Tamandua tetradactyla: one gene and its partners. The protein of the gene in region 3 interacts with the protein of the main gene of each other region in a biochemical or structural test. Links are inferred from orthologs where the notes say so. Each region holds a gene or a part of one and is shown on either strand. Other genes may lie near its edges.

Region 1 (7,801 bases), on a different chromosome or scaffold from region 3:
AGACAGGGAGAGCAGTTAGGCTGCTTAAGAGTAGCAGGTTTTTATCACATGACTTCATGTTTCCCTCTTTGCCCTGGCTACCAGGAAGCTCAGAGCCAAATTTATGAGCATTCACTAAAAGAATAGCATCTCGTGACTATAATTTGTGTGTTGATATCACCTTTAGCTTGCTGTTATTTTCGTACCACTCCTTTTGCTTTACTCCAATTCTCTCCTTTTTATTTGAGATTTATGCACTTATTCCAAGTAATTAAGACACTGAAAATAAAGTTAAAATTTCCCAAGGCACACCCATGAATTCTTTAATGCTTACAAACAAAATAAAGAACAAAAACATCACATTATGGTGGAAATAGCTAGAAAAAGTGAGAGGTAGAATTGGAGGTGCATATGGGTTTGTAGAACAAAGAATAATGTCTGCTCCTAAGACTTCTTCCTCTTCAGATCAGAAATGGCTGCTGAATAATTTAACCCAAAATATTATTGGATCACAATACAATAAACAAAAGGCCATTTCAAAAATAAAAATGACCCCAAAATGTATATACATGTCTGGCATTGAGCCATGAATAATAAACCCTATCGATTTGTTGTCTTCTGCGTCTGAGTCTGCTAGCTTTTCTTGTGTGTTTATTGAGGTCATTTCCAAACAGGTTAGCGGTTAGAGGGCCAGCTCAAGCAAAGGGAGGTGTGGGGGGTGATATGCCACAGGGGTGTAAACACTACGCAAAGGAGCTATTCCCGCTGCATGTTAAGCAATGTTAAGGCAGGACCCATCCAAGCCGGATGCCTGAGAGATGAACAATTCTCCTTTCAGAGTTTTCCATTCCAGCAAGCTTTGTGGTGTTTCTCGCAGAAATCCATCAGCTACCCAGGAAACTGGGTGGGAATACAACATAGCAATTGGAGAAGTCAGCTCTGTCTCCCGCCTCCCCCACATTCTAGAAATCGGCAGAGTCAAAGCCAAAACACAATCAAAGCGCCCTGTGCGGTGAGCCAGATCGACATTTAATTTTAATGACATAGTAGGAGAAAATAAACTGGAAAAAAAAGGACAGAAAATACTTTTTGGCATATGCGTATAGAAGAAGCTATGCTGATTTGTCTGGTAGGAAAAGGAAAAAAGGAAAGGAGGTCAGTTCTTTAGCTTCCGTGAACACTTACTGAAAGATGCTGATTATATTTCTTGGTGTGGGTTCCATCTCCCTTTTTAATCGTGTGCTTGTGTGTGAAGAGACTTCAACATTTGGAGGAACAAGGGAACGTACATATATGAACGAATGCATGGCGAAAAAGCCAGTCTCCCAGCATATGCCAGCAAACTGACTGAGACGACATACAAAGGACCCCGTGTGATGCCTGGTGCAGGAGTGGGGTGGGGTAGGATGGCAGAACCCAAACCAGGAACCCAAACTGGATTCCCTAGACTTGGGACAGGCACTGCTTCACGTCTCCTGCAAGTCAGTAGTACAGGAGGAGCCTCCGCAATGCGGCAAGCGCCATTTTGGGGAGCCTGGTCCCCAAGGAGCGCCGCCCCCCCCCATCAAAGGCAGGGGCTGTGGTGCCTGGGGAGGGGCTGGGCAGTGGCCCTGGCAGGCTGGCCGGCCCTGCATGTACCCGGTGTGCCGAGGGCAGGGCACTACGCAGCGGGAGCAGCAGGGGGCGCTGGTTCCTCCGTCTCGCCTGCTGCACCTGAGCCCGCACACCTGGGAGCAGCCTCCTCTGCAAGAAGACAGCGCTCTGGGCCTCGGGCCAGCTGTGCTTGCGGCCTCGGCCGGCAGGACTGCCCATATCAGGGAGGACCACAGGGACGGGCTCCGGCTGCAGGGAAGCAGGAGCGGAGAAGGGTAACTGCACCCTGTGCTTTCACTCCGGGCCTCGGTTTCTTCACCTTTGTGGGTTGGTCATAAAGGTCAAACCAGGTGACCCTTGCAGTGGGGGTGGGGAGCCGCGTGTGGGGTTTGGAGGGGAGAGCACGGACACGGGCGGCAGACACCGCTGTCTGTGTCCCCACAGCCATGCGCCATGCCCCCTACCTTCCCGAACCTCGCCCTAAGGACAGTGCCCCTCTAGGGCTGCCACGGATAGTGAGTCAAATAAGGTACGCAAAGCGTCTGAGCAGCCTCCGTGCCCAAGAAGCAGCGGTCATTCTCACTTGCAAACTGTCGAGGGCTGCGCCAGTTCTGGATGGCAGCATCTGGCAGCCCTGGGACCTCCTATAAATGCAAGGTTGAGAAGAAATGGGCTCTTTGGCTCTCCAGGTCTCCAATTCGCCGTCCACGGCAGAAGCTGGGGACAGCAAAGCACTTCCCTCCAGGAGGAGGCATCCCAAAGAGCCTGCTTGCGTCACAGTGTCCCCCCTAGGGCACACTCGGGGTGGGGGGTGAGGATGGTCTGGGCGCAGGGACCACTCTCCTCTGCCACTCATGCTGGACCACTCTGTAGGAGATGCGAACGAGGGGCCAGCCCTGGGTTCCCTGCCCCCGGGAACATTCTAGATTTTCCAAGGAATGGCCTGAAATTCCTCCATGTCTTCAAAGCAAAATACACTTGAAGTTTCTGGAGGAGAAACTGTATGCCCTAATGCTCTCTGTCACAGGGCTTTGGGGAGGGAAAACCCCAGCCCTGTCATACCCCATCCACCTCTGAACACAGGACGAAGCTCAACTCCACTCTCAGGGCCTCTGCTTCCCTTGGCTCCCCCAAGGGCTCACACCGGGGCCCCACTTCCCCTCCCCTCTGTCCTGTGGCCTGAGCAATTTCAGCAGACACCCCCGTCTGACCAGCCCACTCCCCACATACCCAGGCAGCACCCAGGTTCTCCGGGCTCTTGGGGATCCAATCCGCCCTCCTCCCCATTCCCAGACCCCTCCCTCCTCCAGACCGGAGAATCCTGACCGGTCCTGAAAACGTGGATGAAAACAAGCCACATCTTTGTTTTCATGAACACCTCCAACTGAAAGCCAGCCTTTCCTTCCACGACCAAGTAGGCCAACCCCCAGGGGCAGCTCGGACGCTGTCACCAAGAAAAGGCACAGGATTTCTCAACCTCATTGATGGATCTCCAGATATCCCCGTGCTTGTCACAGCTTGGAAATCACAGCAATCATTACACCCTGGCCAGATATTTAATGCACTCCGGAGAAATTCATGTTTTACCCATTATCAAACAGCTTTCTTGTTTGATGCATGAGCAGGCACCAGGAATTGAACCCGGGGCTTCGGCACGGCAGGCGAGAACACTGCCTGCTGAGCCACTGTGGCCCACCCTTGATATATTTTAATAACTGTCTTGTCATACAATTGTTCCCCTTTGCAATCCTGCGCAGTTTATTTCATGCATTTGGAAACATCATTCTGAGATGGGGTCCAGGCTTCACCTGACCAGCCAAAGGGGCTCATGGCACAAAAGGGGTGAAAGCCCCACGCTACGTTCCAGCATACACCAGCCAGAGCCCTGCTCTGTGATGCGTCTGCACTGCGACTCGGTCCCTGGGGCTGTCCTCTCCCAACCCCATTGCTGCATTTCCCAATCCTAGAGCCCCTTGGAATTCAACTTCATGGGGGCTGCACTCCCTTCTCTGGCTCCTGAACTATCATCTCCATTATCCCACTGGGAGCCCCCTCAAGGTTGGGGGTAGGGCTGCGACCTGAAGGGGCATTGAGACCCACTTTGTTATTTTATTATCATATCATACCATATTAGAGCAGATAAAATGAGAGTCTTTGCAGGCTGACTGTGTGCCTGGTGTCAGGTGCTTACAGATATTTCTCCATTGGGTTCTTCCAAGGACAGGAGGCCCCGCGGCAGTTCCTCCGCCGAGGAGACGGCATCCAACAAGCCCCGAAGACGGAGAGGTGGGGTCAGGGCACAAGGGGCGGTTTTCAAGGTCTGACCCCAGTAGAGGTGGGGGGGCCAGGACCGTGAAGATAGGTTCTGCTGACAGGTATTGTGTAGGGCCCCTGAGCTCAGAGTTGGGTGATGCTGAGCAGAGCGAGGCGGTGGGGTGGGAGCAGGAATAGAGCTGTTTTGGGGTCTGGACTGTTCATTTCTACCGGGCAGTGGTGGGTTGGGGGTTGAGATCCAGGAGGTGGCGAGGCATCCCCCCGCGAAGCGCACGCCCCCGCGGCTCCCCCTCCCTGGGCTTCGCCGACCAGGCAGGCCAGAATCCCCGCCGCCCGGGTGGGTCCAGGCCCGGAAGGCCAAGGGCGGGGGCGTCTGGGGCCGGGGCGGGGCGGGCAGAGGGCCCGGCCACCCCTTCCAGGAGGGCGGGTCCTCCCCGCGCCCTAAAGACCGCCGGCGCGCGGCCCGCCGCCAGTCACCCGCGGGGAGCGGACGCCTCTGCCCGTGTCCACCCCGGGGATGCCCCCGCGCCCGGCCCGCGCCGCGCCCGCCTGAGCCCCCGCCCGCCCGGCTCATGCCGCCCCTTCCCGGGACCCTGCGCAGGCGCCTGGCGGCCCCCAACCTGTCCCGCGCGCTGCCTCCCGCCGCCCTCCCGTGCGCCATGCCGGCGCGGGTGCTGCTCTTGGCTGCGCTGGCCGCGCTGGCGCTGGCCCGGGAGCCCTCGGTGACATCGTGCCCGGCGCGCTGCGACGTCTCCCGGTGCCCGAGTCCCCGCTGCCCCGGCGGCTACGTACCCGACCTCTGCAACTGCTGCCTGGTGTGCGCCGCCAGCGAGGGCGAGCCCTGCGGCCGCCCGCTCGACTCGCCGTGCGGGGACAGCCTGGAGTGCACGCGCGGAGTGTGCCGCTGCCGCTGGGCACACGCCGTGTGCGGCACCGACGGGCACACCTATGCCAACGTGTGCGCGCTGCAGGCGGCCAGCCGCCGCGCGCTGCAGCTCTCGGGGACGCCGGTGCGCCAGCTGCAGAAGGGCGCCTGCCCGTCGGGTAAGCGCTCGGGCTGGGCGGGGGGCACCGCGCCTACCCCCGGGGTGAAGGGAAAGCCTGCTACCCGGAAGCCGTGGCCCAGGGAAAGCGCCTGGAGGTCCTGGGCACAGCTGAAAGACGCTGCAAAAGTCCTCTAGCCAGCCCTCTGCGATCGTCCAGGTGGGGAAACTGAGGCCAGGAAAGGCCCACTGCTATCCTCAAGGTCCCAGGATCTGTCAGGGAGGAGAGTGAAGCCCAGGGCCCTGTGCCCTGTCCGCCTGGGCCTTGTCTGGCTCTGTCCTCCTCCAGCCCCACCAGAACTCACCTGTCCCGAGTGCCATTCCCCGGGTCCTCACACCCCTGCTCTATCAGAGGGGCTGGGTCAGAAGCCCTTTCCTGACAGTCTCCAGTGGTCCTGCCCACTGGGGCGATACCCAGTGGTAACTTTCTTTATTTTCTAATGCAGTTGAAAGGCACATCTCCAAGGGGCTCTTTGGGAATTGTGAGCCAGTGGGGTTCCTGGACAGCTTGGGGCCCCATGGGGTGGCACCCTTGGGGGAAGGGACTTTCTCAGTCCCTCAAAACCCGGGACCAGCCTCCCCTGGCCCCGAGTTGGCTCTGGGTGGCAACTTGCCCCACAGCTTGTCCCTGTGAATGGAGGAAATGCTAGAAAACCTTGCCACCCCGTTCCCTGCCCAGGTACCTCTAAGGAAGGCAGGTTCCGCTGCCCGCTCCACAGGTACTGGCCAGAGCCCTGTGCTGGGCTGGTGGCTGGGCTGGTCCCGGGCTCGTGGGATTGAGAGATGCTGCGATGCCCATCTCGGTGCTCTAGGAACACAGTGGGAGAGCACCAAGGGCCTGGGAAGCCTTCGGTGGGGCTGGGAAGAGGGGCACATTTAAGCTGAAACTTAAAGAATGAGGACACGTTTTGTAGGTAGGGCTGTGAAAGACATTCCAGGAAGAGGGAGCAGCGCGAGCAGACACCTGTAGGCTCAGCCATGCGCTGGGATGCATTTTGAAAATCAGCCCAGAGCCGCTGGCATCTGGGGTGCTGCAGGGACGGTGGGGGGGGGCACTCCGGGCTGGGCAGGTCAGCATGGGGCAGATGACAAGTTGCCACATGCATCGCGCTAAAGAGATTGAACTTTATCCTGTCAGGCAGAGCTTCTCCAAATGTGCCAGCCTTTGGAAAATAAAGGTCCTGTGGTTCAAAGCAGTGGGGAGCCTCTAGGGACAAGTCGCACAATGCTTGACTAGATCCAGGGTTCTGAGAAAAGCCTTCGGTAAGAAAGACAAGAAACAAAACCATGAAACTCAGGGTTTCCCAACTTCTAAAGATTATTTTCTGGCAGAACATACATAGCCTCCTCGCAGCACCGGGGTTCCAGGGAGCCCATTTGGAAAGCACCACAGATTCTAGGGGTCTGCTGCGGCAGGGCTTCAGGGGGCTGGGGTGATCGGTCAGACTCGTGTTCAGACCGCAGGGACAGGGCAGCGTCTCCCGATGGCAGGAGAAGGGTGTGGCGATTCCATACCTGTCCCTGCATCCCCCCCACCCCCGCAGGGGGCCTTCCTGGGATGGCCTCGGGCCAGTGGGCCCATCTAGGACCTTGACGGTGTGTCAGGACAGGCCTGGCGCCTGCCCGCTGCGGCCTAGTTGTACAGGGGGCTGTCCCTTCCCCAGCCCGGCCTCCCCCACGTGGTGGACACTGTTAGAGTAAAGCCTGGGCTGGGGCCAGGGAAGGGGGAGGGGGTGGAAGGAACTGGAAACACCGACATGGAGGTTGCGTCTCTCTGGGCTCTGGGCGGTGAGGTCACGGCCCTGGAGCAGACCCCGTCTGGGCCCGGGTGGCCCTCCAAAAAGGCCGGAGAGGAGGAGAAGAGGGCGAGGATCCTGAAGGCCCAGACAGGGGCAGGGGTCACTCAGAAAAGGCAGGAGGTGTCCAGGGGCATCGCGACCATGGGCCAGGGCCCCAGACCTGATCATGACCTCAGACAGGCCCCTTTGTTAGCCTCAGTTTCCTCATCTGTAAAATGGGGACACAACAGCCCCCACTGCTGAGGGCCGTTGCAGGTTTTAATTAGCCAGAAAGCACGTTCCCAGCACCTACGTAGCCACTGGACTCCTTTTTTATTCCAGCCACTGGTGTCATTATTATTTGCCACTGGCATTTCTGTCCTGTCTGGCAAGGGTGGGGGGTTTTCCGGAAGGGGGGCTTCTGTGCTGAGCTGTGAGCTCCCGGGCAGAGCACGGGAAGGGCCTTCAGGGCACAGGGAGGGACCCGGGAGCTGCAGAGGTGAGTGGACCAGCCTGGTGGGACGGGAGCCTGCAGGCCCCTCACCGCAGCCAGAAGGGCAGGTGCAGGGGAGAGGGGGGTGTGGGGTCTGGAAACAGGGGAGAAGTCCTGGGTGCAGGAGGGAGGATTAGTGGCCCTGCACGAGCCCAGGCTCTCCCTGGATCCCCCATGACCTCGAAGCTGACACCAACCCCCTGGCCTGCCCTGGCCCCGGCTCCTCGGAGCTGCTGCCCAAGTCCAGGGACTGCGGGTCATGCTGTGGCCGAGCCTCAGCCCTGCCAGGGCATCCTGGGCTTCTGTGATCATTGTCCCCACCCCCACCTCTTAGATCACAGAGACCTCGACGCCCTGGTTGTGGCAGGGGCCCAAACAAGGGATCCAAGCAAAATCCAGGCCTCATGGAGCCCTTGCTGTGCCGTGTCTGGCTGGCGTCACCTCTGTAAGCCTGCACCCTGCTGACACCTGGAGGTGTTCGCCAGGGCACGGGAAGGGCCAGCAGTGGGCTCAGGACATGGCCAGGAGCTGTCTGCCCATCCACCCACTCGCAGGCCCCAGGCCACCTTCGGGTCTGGAGGCAGGGGTCAGGCCTGGGGCTCCCACACTCCCAGCCTTCCTGCTGCTCCCAGGGCAGCGTC
Region 2 (7,223 bases), on a different chromosome or scaffold from region 3:
GAGCTGACAACAGGTGAGTGTTCCTCCCGGATCTCAACACAATATTATAAGTATAGTAGTAAGAGCTCTGACCCTCCCTCCAACAGGCACCGCATGTGCCATATATCCTGTTTATTCAAGCTTCCGTTCACAGGGGCTAGTATGCACAGTGGAACCCTCTTGTCCTGAGAGTTATTTAGCACTGTGTCGAAGGCCTCTTCTGTGGAAAGCAGTGCAGGGAGCGGCTCTTAAGTGCCTTCCGTGTCCTCTCACAAACTGTAGATTTAAACTAGCTGCAATTGACGCTGGGAAAAAGAGGAGAGATAGTCCACCTACTGCTCCAGGGCTGAAAGGATTCTCAGCCGGGGGAGGGGGGGGGGGGAGATCCCCTGAAAAAGAGAGAGCAGGAAAGAGGTCTTCAAAGCCTCCTCCATTCCTCAGAAAATCTTTGGGGAAGGAAAGGGGTGGGCAGAGATGGCTTCTGGTCCGACTCTGGCTAAATCCCAGGGCTGCAAGGCAGAAGTTTCCTAACACCTCCAGGAGGTCTCTAAGAGATTTTTATCGAGGCTAGGATAGGCTGACCCAATCCTATCTTATCATTAGCCAAGACAGGGCAACAGGCCCTCTGGAGAGCCTTTGAAACACAAATGAAAACAGCACAAAGGTAGCGCTGAAGTCCCCGGGCTGGAATTCGGGTTTCTTTTTCTGCCTCCAGCTCAAGCCGCCTGGGCTAAGGAAAGCCGGTGCAGGCACCGAGGGCACTCGGATTACACCCGGTTCCCGGACGCTCCCTTGAGAGTCTCCTCAGGTCCCTCCCAGGCCCCAGGCCGCCTCTCACCATCACATAATGGCGCTGCATCTCTGTCTTCTCGTTGGCAAGCTTGTCGTACTCCACTTTGAGGCTGCGAGGGCAGAAGGAGCCGGCTCAGGCCTGGCGCCTGCACAGCCTCCTCGGAGGCACCAACCCAAGGGCCTCAGAGGGCCTCTTTTCCACTTCCCTGACCACCCTCCCCCCCCCGAGGTTACCCCATTATCCCGCAGCCTCCGGGGGAGGGGGATTTGGGTTCCTGCCACGGGGAGGGGTTAGGGGGAATGAAACAACTTGAAACTTCCCAAGCCCTGGGAGTGGAATTAGTAGGCTTGCAGGGGTGGGGGTGGGGCGGCGGCAGAACCCGGACGCTGTAGCCCGCCACCTCCGGGACCCGGGCCCAGCCCGTCCGCCACCCCGACCCCGACCCCGGGGAGCCCGGGCGGGCGGCGCTGGGAGCGGGAGGCTGCGGGGCTGCCAAGGGTTAAGGCCCCGCGCTCCGAAAGGGAAAACAAAAGGCGGAGGCCGGGCTGCCCCTCCGCCCGGGGGTCGGGAGACCCTCGGTCCCGGACGGAGCTGCGCCTGGAGCCACGGACCCACTCCCCGGCAGTCCCGGGGTCGGTCCCCACCAGCCTTACCTGTGATACTGAGCTTGCAGGAACTGGAATTCGTCTTTGATTCTGTCACAGGACTCGGCCACCGTGAATTTAAATCCCGGCTGCCCGGGTTGATGGGGAGCCTGGAGCCCGGGAGGGCAAGACAGGGGAGGGGGGCGGGGCCATCAGACGGGGCTCAAAGCTGCCCAGGCCCCTCCGCGGCTTCCCTCCGCCTCCCTCCCCACCCCCCCATCCCCACCCCCACCCGCGCCGGCTCATAATTAGAGAAGCCCCCTCGCAACCCCAAACCTTCCCCCAAGTCACTCAGTCCCACAACAGGGTTGTGGTCTAGTCCTTCTCAGCCGCGGGGCTCCTACCCTTTTCACTACGGGGCTCCCAATTCCAAGAAAGAGGGGGGCGGGGAACGTACGAGTTGGGAGACTTAGGAAAGGGGGCGGGGGAGGGGAGTGCAAAAACAGTTCCCCTTCTAACACAGGGAGCTCCCTACGCCACTCGGGCGGAATTAACCTCTTCTCTCAACGGCGCCCCCCATCCCCTTTGTGTGAGAACACATACATACACACAAACACACACCATAAAGGTAGCAACGAGCAAAATGGAGGTGCCAGATAAACTGCCTCGTTTACCCCGCCGTGATAGATGCTTAAATACACCGAGTTGCAATTACTCACCGGATGTCTGCCTTGCGGATACATGGCAGGGAGGGGTCGTGATTCCAAGAGCGTGGAAGCGCCGAAAGCCCGGGCCGGGGAGCTGCGGGGGAGGGGGGAGCCGAGCCCGAGCGGGGGGCGGCCGGGAAACCGAGAACTCGCCCCCGGCCCCCCCAGCCCGCTCTCGCAGCGATATCCCAGAGTCGGGCGCCCACCCCAAGTGGAGACAAAGAGCTGCGGAGCAGGCGGCAAAGTCGTCTGCGGGCGCCGAGGCCGGGCGGGCGGGCGCGGGCTTTGTGCGCCTAGGGCTCGGCGGGCTGCGGCCGGCCGCCTTCCCCCGGCTGCGTCGAGCGCGTCAGAGCCGGGGGCTTCGCGGACATCGTCTTCTCCCCAGAGGTTCTGGCACGGGGTCCCAAGGCCGGGGTTGCCTCCTGGGGCGAGCGCTAGTCCCCTTCGGATCAGTTAGCCCGTGGCGCCAGGAGGGGGGCGCGCCGGGGCAGCCCCAGCATCCAGGGAGCGAGGGTCCGATCCCAGAGGCGACAGCGCCCGGGGCTCGCGGCGACGAGGAAGAGGAAGGAGACAGGCACCGAGGTGGCGGCTTGGGACCGCGAGAGCGCCAGAGGGTGAGGGCGGGAGCCCCGCGCGGGCGCTTCGACGCCCCCCCCCCACCACCACCACGGAGAGGAGAGCCTGTTGTTCCGTCTGCTCCTGCCGCCGCCGCCGCCGCCGCTTGCAAGCCCTTCCCAGGGCCAAGGAGGAAACTCCGGGCTCAATAGGTGCAAATCAACTGCTCCGGCATCCTAACTCCCGCGGGCAGAGAAGCCTCCGCAAACGGGTCCTCGTTGCTCCCAGCTCGAACGCCGAGTTCCTAGCGAAGAGCGCTCGGCGCTGCGGCCGCTTCGGGGTGTGCAGGCTGGAGAGCGCTGGAGGGGAGACGCAGCCCTAGACCCAGGAGCTGTGCGGCTTCCTTCCTCGGCTCGACTCTCCTCTCCGCGCCCCGACAAACCCCCACACATACACCCTGACACACACACCCAACATACACACACCAAAAAAAAAAAAAAAGTGGCCCGGACCTTGCGGATACCACACACAGACAGGCGAGGGGGACGAGCACGAGGTCTGAACTGCCGCGAGAGCAGTTCCAAATAGGGACTGAAAAGTAACAAAATAATGTGGCAGCTTCGCCCGGTGCTAGCCAATGGGAGCGCGGAACCCCCACGTGGGGCTGCCCGACCCGGCCTACGACTGGGCGCCGCCGGGCGCAACGTCACAATGCCCTCTTGTGTCTAAAACTATGCATGAAAAGTAGCAATCAGGCCCTACCCGCTGGTGACTTTCGCATGGGAGTGAAAAACAGCGCTCCTCAGATCAGGAATTAACCGAAAGACATATAATAAATAGATATATATTATAGTCCTGGGCTGCTAGAATTTTTGTTCGTCCTCTTTTTTTTTTCCCACGATCTACTAACAATTACTTAGCGGGAGGGGGAAAGAGAGAAGACAGAAATAACAACAAAAGAAAAAAAAGACAAGCTGTATAATTCTAAAAACCTGTGGCTGGGTGGTAATGTATCAGTTTATTCTGCAGTGGCGGTAAACGATTCCTCCCTCTAATCTCATTAGGTCTGCAAAGCAGCACAATTAGATACTATAAAACAAACAGAATCACTTCGTCACTTTAATGTTTTCACTTCACAAGATTTAGGACCGATAAAATGGTGGCTCCCAAAGTTGCCTCGCCCCACACACCCCCACACCCCTAAAGATTTGCTAGAAACTGAGGGTGTCCCTTTATAACTCCTTCCGTTACCCCCACGGTCCCCTACCCCCACTCCGCTCTGCTTCTTTTCTCTGTTCTTCGCCTTTCTTTTCAGAAAGCCAAATAAACACCGTCTTTGATGTGCGGCGGCTAGCCGCGAGAAGTCTGAGGAACTCTTGCTTGGCCAGTAGCGCAGAAGGTAGGGCCTGGCTGCCCGCGGACAATCTGCTCAGCTTGCCAACTGTCCCCACGAGGGGATGTCTACCCCGGCGAAGGGCGGGCCTCCGTGGGGACAGTTACCACAGCCTTGTCGGGACCGCTCCGCGCTGCGTGCGGGGTCCGGGGAGCAGAGTTGGGGATTGGAGCGGGGCCCTGCACCGCCCTGACCTAGGAGCTCCGAGTTCCAACCCGCTTTACTCGGTCTGCCCGCGTCAGTATTACAGCGCCGGCGGAAGCTTGTGGAAGAACGTGTGTGCGAGCTCGTGGGCGTCTCCGAGGCCAGCCACGACGCCCCGGGGGGCGCATACGCTCGCCCGACCGGTCGCGCGCCCCTGACCCATCCCTTCCGCCGCGCCTCTGGGACTCCCTGAGCTGTCCGACAGGCCCCTCGACTCCGGGAGCCAGTCTGCTGGAAAACTCAGAGCCTTTATCAACTGCGCGCGGAGTTACGTCAGGCCGGACAGCCGAGGGGGAAGCGGTCCCTCCCGAGAACCCCGCGGGCACTAGCCAGCATCTCGGCGAACCCGCCGGGACCCCCGGGCCAGCGGCAGGCGCGAGCGGCGCGGACTTTGGGTCCCGCGCCTTGGAGGCGGCCCTGGGCGCGCGCGAGCCGGCAGCGCGCCCCCGGATCTATACTTCCCCCTCATTAGGAGCGGGAGGTTCGCCTTTGCATCTTAATGAGGAGCTGAGAGCAAGCGAGCGCTGGGAGGCCGGTGCGCAGGGAGTTACACATGAGCACTCGCCTAAGAGTTGAACCTCCCCGCGCCCGCTCCGGCCGTCAGCCCCGAGCTGCGCTCCTCTATTCATTTATTTATTCTCCTAAATAAAAACATAAAACGTGTGCGGCGCGCATCGAGGAGGTGGGGGGTGGGTAGAGAAAAGCCCGGCTCGACAGATGCGAGCATCTGGCCGCAGCATTCATTAGACACAAAATGGCTCCTCTTTGGCGCTTCCTTTTCCCCTCCCCCTTCTCTGCCCTCCCCCTTACGTCACGGGTGGGCGCACCCGCTTCCTGCCCGCCCCGCCCCTTTCTCGCTCCTGTCCCCACGTGGTGACCGCTGACCCCGCCTCCGAGCAAAGCATGGACGACCAATCAAAGGCCGCTGAGGCCCTTCTACGCCACTGATTGGCGAAGCTATCGGGAGCTGTCAGTCTACGGCCAGAGCTGTCAGTCAAAACCACGCGGGGTGGGGGAGCGCTGACAAATGCCGAGGCTTCTGAGCCTCCCGCTTGCAAATAGTGCTTGGAATGGCTGCTTAATTAGCTTTGAATGGCTTTTCCTTCCAGCTCAAACAATCTGTCACTACCATGTGGTATAAAGGAGCCATGCATAAAAAAGTAAGCAGAGGCTAAATATCAATTTGATTTTGTGTATCAAAGGAATATTTTATTTTTCTCCCTAGTAATGAAACGTATCAATTTAAATAATAAAAGGTAAAAACACACACACAAACCAAAAAAAAAAAAAAAGTAAAGACAGAAGAAATGAAAGGAAAAAAAAAAAAAACCAAAACCCTACTCCATGATCCTCCGACTTCTATGCAAGCCCGAAACAGGTAATTTCTACGGCCCACGTTCAGGAGGAAGCCTGAAGGTTTTTTCCCCCTTTAAATTTGCATTTAATGTTTTGTTGTCGTCCAGTAATCTAGAAGGAGTAATGGAGGAGGGGTGGCCTGAAGTGGGGGGCGTGGAGGGGTTAGACTTTAAAGGGAGCTCTTTGAAGCTGTTAATCAAAGTGGAAGGATTTTTAAGACCCTGTAAACCGGGGGTCCACAGCAGGTCTCGATTTGGGAGCCGAGAGGAGATGGGGGAGAGAGTCATTGTGCGTGTCGCCCGGATTTATTAAACACAATGCCTTCAAGATGCCAGGGACGCGGCGCCTCGTCCGGCCTCCCTCTCACTGCCTCCCTCCAAATAGGCTCCCGCGGCGCCCGCCCGCAGGCAGCAAGGAGCCTCCGGGTCCCCAGACCGGGTCTACGCAGACAGTGGGCAGAAAAGCACAGCAGCTATTCCCGAGTCTGAATCTCTCCGCGCTTCTGGGGACATTAGTGTCTCTCCTACGACGCCACGAGCCGGGTCACTCCACAGGGCAGAACCACGTCGAGGTCACCTGTGAGACCCAGCGTCAGCGCCAGGCCTGGCACAGGGGAGGGGCCTGGGACTGTTTGACAACTGCGTAATGGACGTGTTTTTGCAGAGCGCCGCCTTCTCGGGCCAGCCTGGAGGATTACGCCACCGAGCCCGAAGAGATAATGAACAGCGTTCAAGCGCTTACTAGGTACAAAGCAAGGAAGGCAGGCACTGCTATTCTCTTTATCTTCACTTCACTCACGAGGGAAGCGGCCAGGCTGGTGGCCATTATTTCATGGAGTAAGAAAGAGACCATGAGAAAGCTCAGTAATTTGCCCCAAGCTGGACAGGTTAGGATTTGAATCCAGGGCAGCCGGCTCGACAGCCAAGCTTTGCACCCTCTGTGCTTGCGCGAGCTGGTTCCCTGGGATCATATTCTGAAGGTAAGGCATTCATTCATTCATTCACTCATACATACATACATTCATTCATTGCCAGCCCTTTCGGAGGCTTTTTACAGGCCCGGGTCGGCCGACTCTGGCTCCCACTCTCTCTGCACCCCACGTCACCCCGGGGCTGCCTGAACCCTGAGCGGGAAGGAAGGCGGGAAGTTAGTAAGCAGGCCAGCACCCCTTTTGGCTCTCCATGACTCTGCTTCTCAAACCCAGGCCACCCCACAAATCAAGAAAAAGAAGGAGGAAAAAGAAATTTATTTTATGTTCGAGAAAAAGAAAATTAAAAGCATGTATACAAAACCCTGTCCAAAGCGCTTGACAATTATTTTTAAAGGTGGGGGGGAGTAGAGAGAAAGAGTTCAAACGTCTCTGTCTCCAGTTCTAATTGGAAACGTTTCAACTGTTTATGTTACAAGAAGTGTCAGGGTCATTTGCTACCGAAGAGCTGACTTTTCATTGGCTGCTTAATTGAGTACCTCGGAGTCCACCCCACGTGGGAGAGGAATTCCTGGCACATTAAAAAAAAAAAGTCACCCGAGTGAGACACAAAGCCTGGCCTGGATTTCCGGAGCGGAGGGTCCTCCTCCTCAATTTGGATTGCAGGGTTATTGGTGGGCAGCTGTCTGCCAGCCCGAAAGAACTGCTTTTCTGGTTCTGTAAA
Region 3 (7,459 bases):
AATACAGGGTTCTTTTCACTCTACCACATGACCTCTAAGACACAAAACTGATAATTCTTCAATTCAATACTAAATTTTTTTGTATTTTACCACTACTGCTTTTGTCTCTTTAATGATCTCAAACAACGTAACAGTTTACATTTTATAATACTGTTACCCCAGATTATATAAAATAAGATTAAACTTTAGGATCGACAGTTCCTTATAATCTCCCCGCCTCAAAAGAACCAGGCTTTTTTTTGCTTTACTCTTCTATTTTGTTTTACTCTTCTTTAGAACACTAACACATAGTACAATACCTGGCACACAATAGGTGTTCAGTATTTATTTTGTAAGCCAAGCTTTTCCCTGAGCTACTACTAGCTAGAAGACTTAAATATTAGACAAAACAAAAACAGTAAAATCTCATCATTTTACATTTGTGGTCTTAAGCATTTACAATGTAGACAAAGGATTTATTAATTAAAGCGTACAACCAAATTTAAGGGGAACATTTATGTTACTAAAATATTTCAAGTACTATTCAAATTATCTAGTACATTAATTACAATTCCTATCTACTGAAATGGGTCTAACTGACCTTTATTGAGCATTGCTTTGTCAGCCTAGTTGGAGTCATCAAATGCAATAGAAAGCAATAAGATCAGAGGTGTACTATAAAGGACACTGGACTAGGACCTAGACTACAGCCCAGGCTCTGCTAATAATCAGATATATAACCTTGGGCAGTTCACTTTCTCATTTTTGGGTCTTAACTTATTTGTTAAAACAAGAGAGCTGAACTACTCCCAGGGACCTTTCCAATGTAATTTTTAAATGATTCTTATCTATAAATATTCTAATTTGATTTTCTGATAATGTTATGTTGTTTGATGATCAAGAAACATCACATTTTCTAAAACCAAGTAAAGTCTAGCAACAAATTACTTTTACTATCTTACATCAAGAGCAATAGGAGAAAACCAAAGGAGTAACATGAGCATAATAATCAAGCCTGCCTTGCCGTTTGGGGATACATGAGCCACATTGGATTTTACAACACAAATCACTGATACACACATATACATAAATATACATATATAGAGACACGTACCATTGAAATGTATTATTTATGTTGATTAACCTATGTATGTGTGAACTTTAAAACTTGATTTTAATTATAAAATTAATACTTGATAAAGGTTAAGAAATCAAAACAGTACATTAGGCCATCCATTTAGGAGTGGAAGTGCAATGCAAGTCTTCCACTCCTCCCACCCTTGACGTGTAGCAACTATTGTTAACATTTGTTTGTGTATCCTTCAAGAAATTATCCTAACAAATACATGTATACATGTTTGTGTATGTGTATAAAATGTTTTTAAACTAAACCGTTGCCCCTTCTTGAATGATGGGGAAAAAAAACACGCACAGGCTTGAGACTGTTTTGAAAGAAGAACTGCTAAGAGCTAGGCAGTCGCTGGCAACAAGAAGTATTCTCTTCAGAAATGTGTACTGAATTGAACACATTTCATTTTCGTGCCTGCAGGATATGTGGGGAAGTTGCACAGAAAGAACCATAGGCAAAGAGCCAGAAACCTGAGTTCTAATCTAAGTCGTGGAGAGCCAATGGGTAAATCATGAAATCGCCTCAGATTCCGGTTTTGTAAAAACGTAACAGAGCTGGGCTAAGATCCCTTCCAATTTTAAAATGCTATAATTCTAAGATGGCCGTCTGTAACAGTGTTCTTTTGAACTGATTTCAACAAATGTTATTAAGAAGGAGAAAGAAACAGTATAGCAACGTTTACTGTTACAAAAGTAAATTTCTCTGAGTCCTTAACTATCAAGCTGTGGTTGTGACAGAACTAGTGATATAACTGTATTTGAAAGCAAAGTAGTAGGTTATTAAAACCTGATAGGTTTTTTTTACAAAGATTTGACGTTTGTTTTCTTTTTTTTTTTTTTTTGGAGGTGGGGAGGACCATTGCTTATTTTTAGCAATAACCACCACCCCTATCCCCCAAAGAAAAAAGCTCCGTGCACTATTAAGAAAAAATAATGAAACTGAAGTTAAATTGACATTTTGTTTTACTCACAGAATATGCTGGAGCGGTGACTTGGGCACCAATGATTAGAATTACTAGCTAATTTTCTTTTCCGGAAGCTCTTTGGCCCCTATTATTTCTGTTTCACACGCCCTGGCCAGACACATTCCACAGGCATCAGGTGGGGGGACTTGCGGGAAATCCCTTTGATCATAAAAAAAAGTTCTTTAGCAGTCACGGGGTTCAGGGAGGCAGCGCCGCCGGCCTGAAGCTATACACGTTCGCCTTCCTTTGGCCAGTTCCTGGACTGCTGCCTTCCCGCCTTCCCGCCCTCCCCGTCAAGTTCGCTGCCTTCCCGCCCTCCTCCGCAAGGCCCAGTCGGAGGTGGGGAGGAGGGGAGGAGGGGAGGAAGGAGGTGAGCAGGAGGGGAGGAGGGGAGGAGGGGAGGAAGGGGGTGGGCAGGAGGGGAGAAGGGGAGGAAGGGGGTGGGGAGGAGGGGGGAGGGGAGGAGGGGAGGCTAGTGGAGAGGGAAACCCGCAAAGGCAGTACTCACCCGGCCTGGAGCGCCAGTCACGACCGCCTGCGGCACCCAGGGAGGTCCTGAGGGGAGGATCCCTAGGAGGGGCACCACCAGTCCCAATATGGAAATGCCAACTCTGTTCTGCAGCCAGGCCTGGGCCTAGGAGAAGGAAACGGAAGTCTCTCCGTCTCCCTCAACCGCATCCACCAACCGGCCCATCCCCCGGAGGAACCCGAGTCGGAGAGTCCAAAGTGCGTCCACGTCAGAGCATCAAAGAAACACTGGGCGTGGTCCAGCGGTCTCAAGGTCCGAGCCCCACTGACGGGGCCCCGGCAGCCAGTCCTTCCTGCCCGCCGCACCCCAAAAACTCCCGCCCCCGTGGAAGGTCAGCCTCCCGCCCTGTAAAGCCCCTCCTTCTTCCCCCCTCCGCCATTTTTCAACTTACACACTCGGGCTGAGGTGACCTTCGATTAGCGCCGCGCCCACGCGGGGCGCCAACACGGTCACGACACTTCCCTGAGTGGTAAGAGCAGCCAGAAAAAAAATATCGCCCAGTCTCGGCTCCGACCCCAGCTGGGAACGGGAGCCTGACGAACCTGGCGCACATGCGCAGTGGGTACCGCGCGGTGCCCGCCCCCTAGTTTAAGCGTTTCCTGCTTTAGCCTACAGGATGTTTTATTTCCCACGGTTTTTACCTGCCGGGCTCTAGGGTTAAGGAGTAGCCGAATAGAGATAAAGTAATGGACAAGGAATACGGAGAAGGGAGAGAACGTGTCTAATTCTTACTATAGACCAGATGCTGTGCTATATATATGTTCTTGTCATTTTGACAAACCTATGAGGTAGGCACTCTCTTACTAAATCCATTTTACAGAAGAAACTGAGACCCAGAGAGGCAAACTATCCCAATATCGCTCAGTAAATAAAAGAGAGAGCTACTATTAGGATAAGCTCTGTTTCCAAGAAGGGAAGAATGAGAAGAATAAGAAAGGGAGACATTCATTAAGAGAGAGAGAGAAGAAAATAATTTAGGAGGTGAATGGAAAATGAACAGGGGAATAAGAAAGCAGAAGGAAGCAGAAGGAGGGGAAACAAAGGAAGTGTAAGTACATAATGTGCTGATCATACCCTGGATTTATTTCAAATATGCTGTAGGATTGTCAGACCTACATCTGAATTTTTCTTTCAAGAACTCAGGCTCTCTAACAGGCTAGTGTGTTGAGATAATAATTTCTGAACCAGGATATTTAATGTCATGGAAAATATCAAAAGTATCGCCAGCATCCTCAAATGATGCTGTCTCCAATGAAAAGCAGACTTGGAGGGAGGAGAAGAAATAATTTTCTTTTTGGTTCTTGGGCTTTTGCTACAGTTGATATTATTCTTTCTGATCCTCTCCCACTGTCACAGCCCTGGTAGTCTCACATCTGACTTAGTGCAGTAATAGTAATTGCATGCACATGTTTATCTCATTTAATTCTCACAGCAATCTAATGAAGTATAACTATCATTACCCCATTGTACAGATAAGAAAACTGAGGTTTAAAGATATTAAGTGACATACTGAAGGTCACACTGCTAGTATGTACGGGAACTGGCCCAACAATTTTAAACCCAGATCTGTCTGATTACAGGTGTATCTAACCGTTACCCAGTCTCCTGACTTCTCTGTCCCTGGACTGGTCCCCCCAATTCGGCTTGCAAAAGGCCCTTTGAGCTAAACTCTTCAATACTTCTGCTTCCAGGATAATGTTAAAACTGCTCAGCCTCATTTTCACTCTCCCCTTGGGCACCCTACTGTTAGGCACGGAGTCATTAAGGAATCCACAGCAGACAGCCAGTGGAGGCTTAACAGATTTATTGAAGAGAGAGAAAGCAGAGAGAGTAGGTAGACAGGAGCCAGTGAAAGGAAAGAAAAATGGCTGGCCCTCTTTGTTCTGGGAGCTGTATTATAAAGGGAAAGTGATGCCAGGAGAGGGGAAGGGTGCCCACTAGGTGGTGTGTGGTCCCTTGATTGGATGGGGGCTTGTTGACTTAGGGTATCATAGATTACTAAGGTATTCTCCTTTGATGTACAACTGCATGTATTGGGCAGGGTGAGGTGCTGGTAGAGGAGGGTGTTATTAACAGAAACAGATTATGACTGTATTTCTAGTTATCTGGAATGTCTTCATTTGCCTGTAGAATACAATCCCAGCCAGTATGGTAATTGGTTCATATCTGGATCCTTGGACTTCCAAGGATGCTGAGGAGGGGGGCTGAAGGGGCTCTGTGTCAAGAATTCCTTTTGCTCTTAGAATTTTTTTTCTGGGACCTAATACCTTCCTTATCTTCCAATAAAACAAAACTACTCAATGTCTCCTAGCCCATCCCCTGCTTTCCTATCTTCCATTAATTTGTTCAAACTTATCCCTCTGCCTAGATGAAAAGACTGCCCCTATGCAAAGCCTTCTCTAGGTGTCTTAGCTGAAGGTTATCTCTTCCACCTCTGAACTCTCTTGGCGCTTGAATTTGTGCCTTTGTTATGAAGCACAGTGCTTTCTCTCATGCAGTATAGCTACTTGTTTACAGTTCTACAGGTTCTATAGTTCTAATGCCATGAAAATCTCCAAATTAAAGCAAGTCTATACAAATGTCCAAACCAAGGCACTATCAAGAGGTTACTGTCACTCAAGAAAGGCCGAAGAGTTCAGTGTTTCTCTTTCAATTGGGAAGGCACGTGGCCAACCTGTAGACAGCCTGCTAGCTTTCTCTTGAGGCTTCTTGCTGCATGAAGCTCTGTGGGAGAAGTTTTCCTTCTTCAGCTCCAAAGTTTGCTGGCTGGTGGACTCTGCTTCTTGTGGCCATGTCGTTCTAAAGCTTTCTCCAAAATGCTTCCTCTTTTAAAGGATTCCAGTAACCTAATCAAGACCAATGTAGAAGGGGTGGAAGCATGTCTCCATCTAATCAGATTTAATACCCACATCTTCATGGAGATAACCTAAACAAGTTTCCAACCTATAGTACTGAATAGGATTTAGAAGAAACTGTTGCTTCCACAAGATTGGCGAAGATTAAAACATGGCTTTTCTGGGGTACATAAATCCTTTCAAACTGGCACAGTATCTCTGCACATAAAATACCCCAGGTATATCTGTCTTTGCTGTTCATATCTGTAAATTAATAGTTCACCCAACATGCATTTACTGAGGCTCTGGCATGTTCATGAAATTTGTATTCACTCTTTTTAAAAAAAAATCAGCAAATTTGAGCACCTACTCTGTGCCAGACACTGTTCTAATCACTCAGAATTTGTCAATGAGCAAAACAAAGATCCCTGTCTTCTTGGAGTTTATATTCTAGCAGGTGTAGAGGGAACAGAAAGACAATAAATAAATACAATAATTAAATAAATTATATTCATGTTAAAAGTGATAGACGTCATGGAGAAAAGAAAAATTAGAGTGTGGAAGGAAGACTGGAAATACTGACAGAAGGAGTTGTAATTTTAAATATGGTGGTTGGGGTAGGCCTTATTGAGACACTGACATTTTAGCTGAAAAGACATGGAGGAGGTGAAGGACAAACCATAGCACTATCTGGGGAAAGTGTTCCAGGCAGAGTGAACAGCGAATGCAAAGGCAGGAGAGCTAAAGGAACAAGGAAGAGAGTAGCAAATGAGGACATAAAGGTAAAAAGGGATCAAGATTGTACAGGGCCTCTGTATTAGTTATCCACTGCCATGTAACAAAATGTCCTAAAATTTAGTGATTCAGGAGTAGCTTAACTGGGTGATTCTGACTCTTGGTCACAAGAAATTACAGTCATCTGAAACATGTGGCTGAAAGACCTTTTCCGAAGGTGGCTCATTCACATGGTTAGCTTGCTGGTGCTGGCCATAGTAGGGAGAAGTGAGGGAGAGGATTTAGTTTCTCTCCCTGGGAGCCTCCTTATCTGCTTTTGTAGTATTTTTAAGATAAGATGGCTAGTTTCCTCCAGAGCAAGCAATCCAAAGGAGAGCAAGCAGAAGGCACAATTCCTTTTACTATCTAAACTTGTAAGTTATATGCCATCACTTCCACCGTATCCTACTGGTCACACTTTCAGCCCTGGTTCAGTATAGAAGGGAACTATGCAAGGTTGTGAATAGCAAGAAGCAAAGATCATCAGGGGTCATCTTGATGGCCGGCCACCACAGTTTTGCAAACCATTATAAATCTGTGACATTTACTTTGAGTGAAATGGGGAGCCATTGAAGGGATTTCAGTAGAGAAATGACAATGATCTGACTTGCATTTTATTAGGATAGCTCTGGCTACTGTGTGAGTAGACTGGAGAGGGCCGTGGGTGGAAGCTGGGTGACCAGTGAATAGGCTATTACAGTCATCCAAGAGAGAGTTGGACTACAGTTGTAGTGGTGGAGTTGGTGAGAATTGGTGGTATTCTGGATGTATTTTGAAGATAGAGGTGACATGATTTGCGATGGATTGCATGTGGGGTATAAGAAGGAGGAATTAAAAATGACTAGAAGGGTCTTGGAGGAATTAAAAAATGAGTTAGACATCAGTCTTGTCATAAATGAGCTTACAACAGAGGGATCACTATCTTCTTTGTATAGTATAACAGGTATACAAAGCAAAGAAATAAAAAAGCAATAATTTTCAAAGCACTTTTCAACAAGTGGTTATAGGAGAGATCCCAGAGTTTGTAATGAGCTACCATACAATCCTCTCATATTTTTCCTTCTAGCTCCTCCAGAATATAGGAGGCTAGAGGGCTTAAATATTTTTTTATCCTCATATTCAACTTTTTTCCTTCTTTTTTGTGAAAAATAACTTATATACAAAAAAAGCTATAAATTTCAAAACACAGCACCACAATTAGTTCTGGAACATATTTCAGAATTTGACATGGGTTACAATTTCACAATTTT

Evidence for each region.
Region 1: of the proteins of XIAP (region 3) and HTRA3, one has a biochemical effect on the other in vitro, tested with the Homo sapiens proteins (3 studies listed by BioGRID and IntAct, with this or other methods). The link is inferred for Tamandua tetradactyla from reciprocal best matches to the Homo sapiens genes XIAP and HTRA3.
Region 2: of the proteins of XIAP (region 3) and TLE3, one has a biochemical effect on the other in vitro, tested with the Homo sapiens proteins (2 studies listed by BioGRID). The link is inferred for Tamandua tetradactyla from reciprocal best matches to the Homo sapiens genes XIAP and TLE3.

The regions. Positions count from the first base shown.
Region 1 is NC_135345.1:4,562,673-4,570,473, reverse strand, and holds the start of HTRA3 (serine protease HTRA3), read left to right. Parts: upstream 1-4,505; coding exon 4,506-4,890; intron 4,891-7,801. UniProt on the Homo sapiens protein: Serine protease that cleaves beta-casein/CSN2 as well as several extracellular matrix (ECM) proteoglycans such as decorin/DCN, biglycan/BGN and fibronectin/FN1.
Region 2 is NC_135338.1:72,482,844-72,490,066, reverse strand, and holds the start of TLE3 (transducin-like enhancer protein 3), read right to left. Parts: upstream 3,297-7,223; 5' UTR 2,100-3,296; coding exon 2,076-2,099; intron 1,527-2,075; coding exon 1,426-1,526; intron 882-1,425; coding exon 818-881; intron 1-817. UniProt on the Homo sapiens protein: Transcriptional corepressor that binds to a number of transcription factors. Inhibits the transcriptional activation mediated by CTNNB1 and TCF family members in Wnt signaling.
Region 3 is NC_135353.1:41,719,157-41,726,615, forward strand, and holds the start of XIAP (E3 ubiquitin-protein ligase XIAP), read right to left. Parts: upstream 3,159-7,459; 5' UTR 2,993-3,158; intron 2,933-2,992; exon of another isoform or gene 2,707-2,932; 5' UTR 2,581-2,706; intron 2,443-2,580; exon of another isoform or gene 2,280-2,442; intron 2,232-2,279; exon of another isoform or gene 2,079-2,231; intron 1-2,078.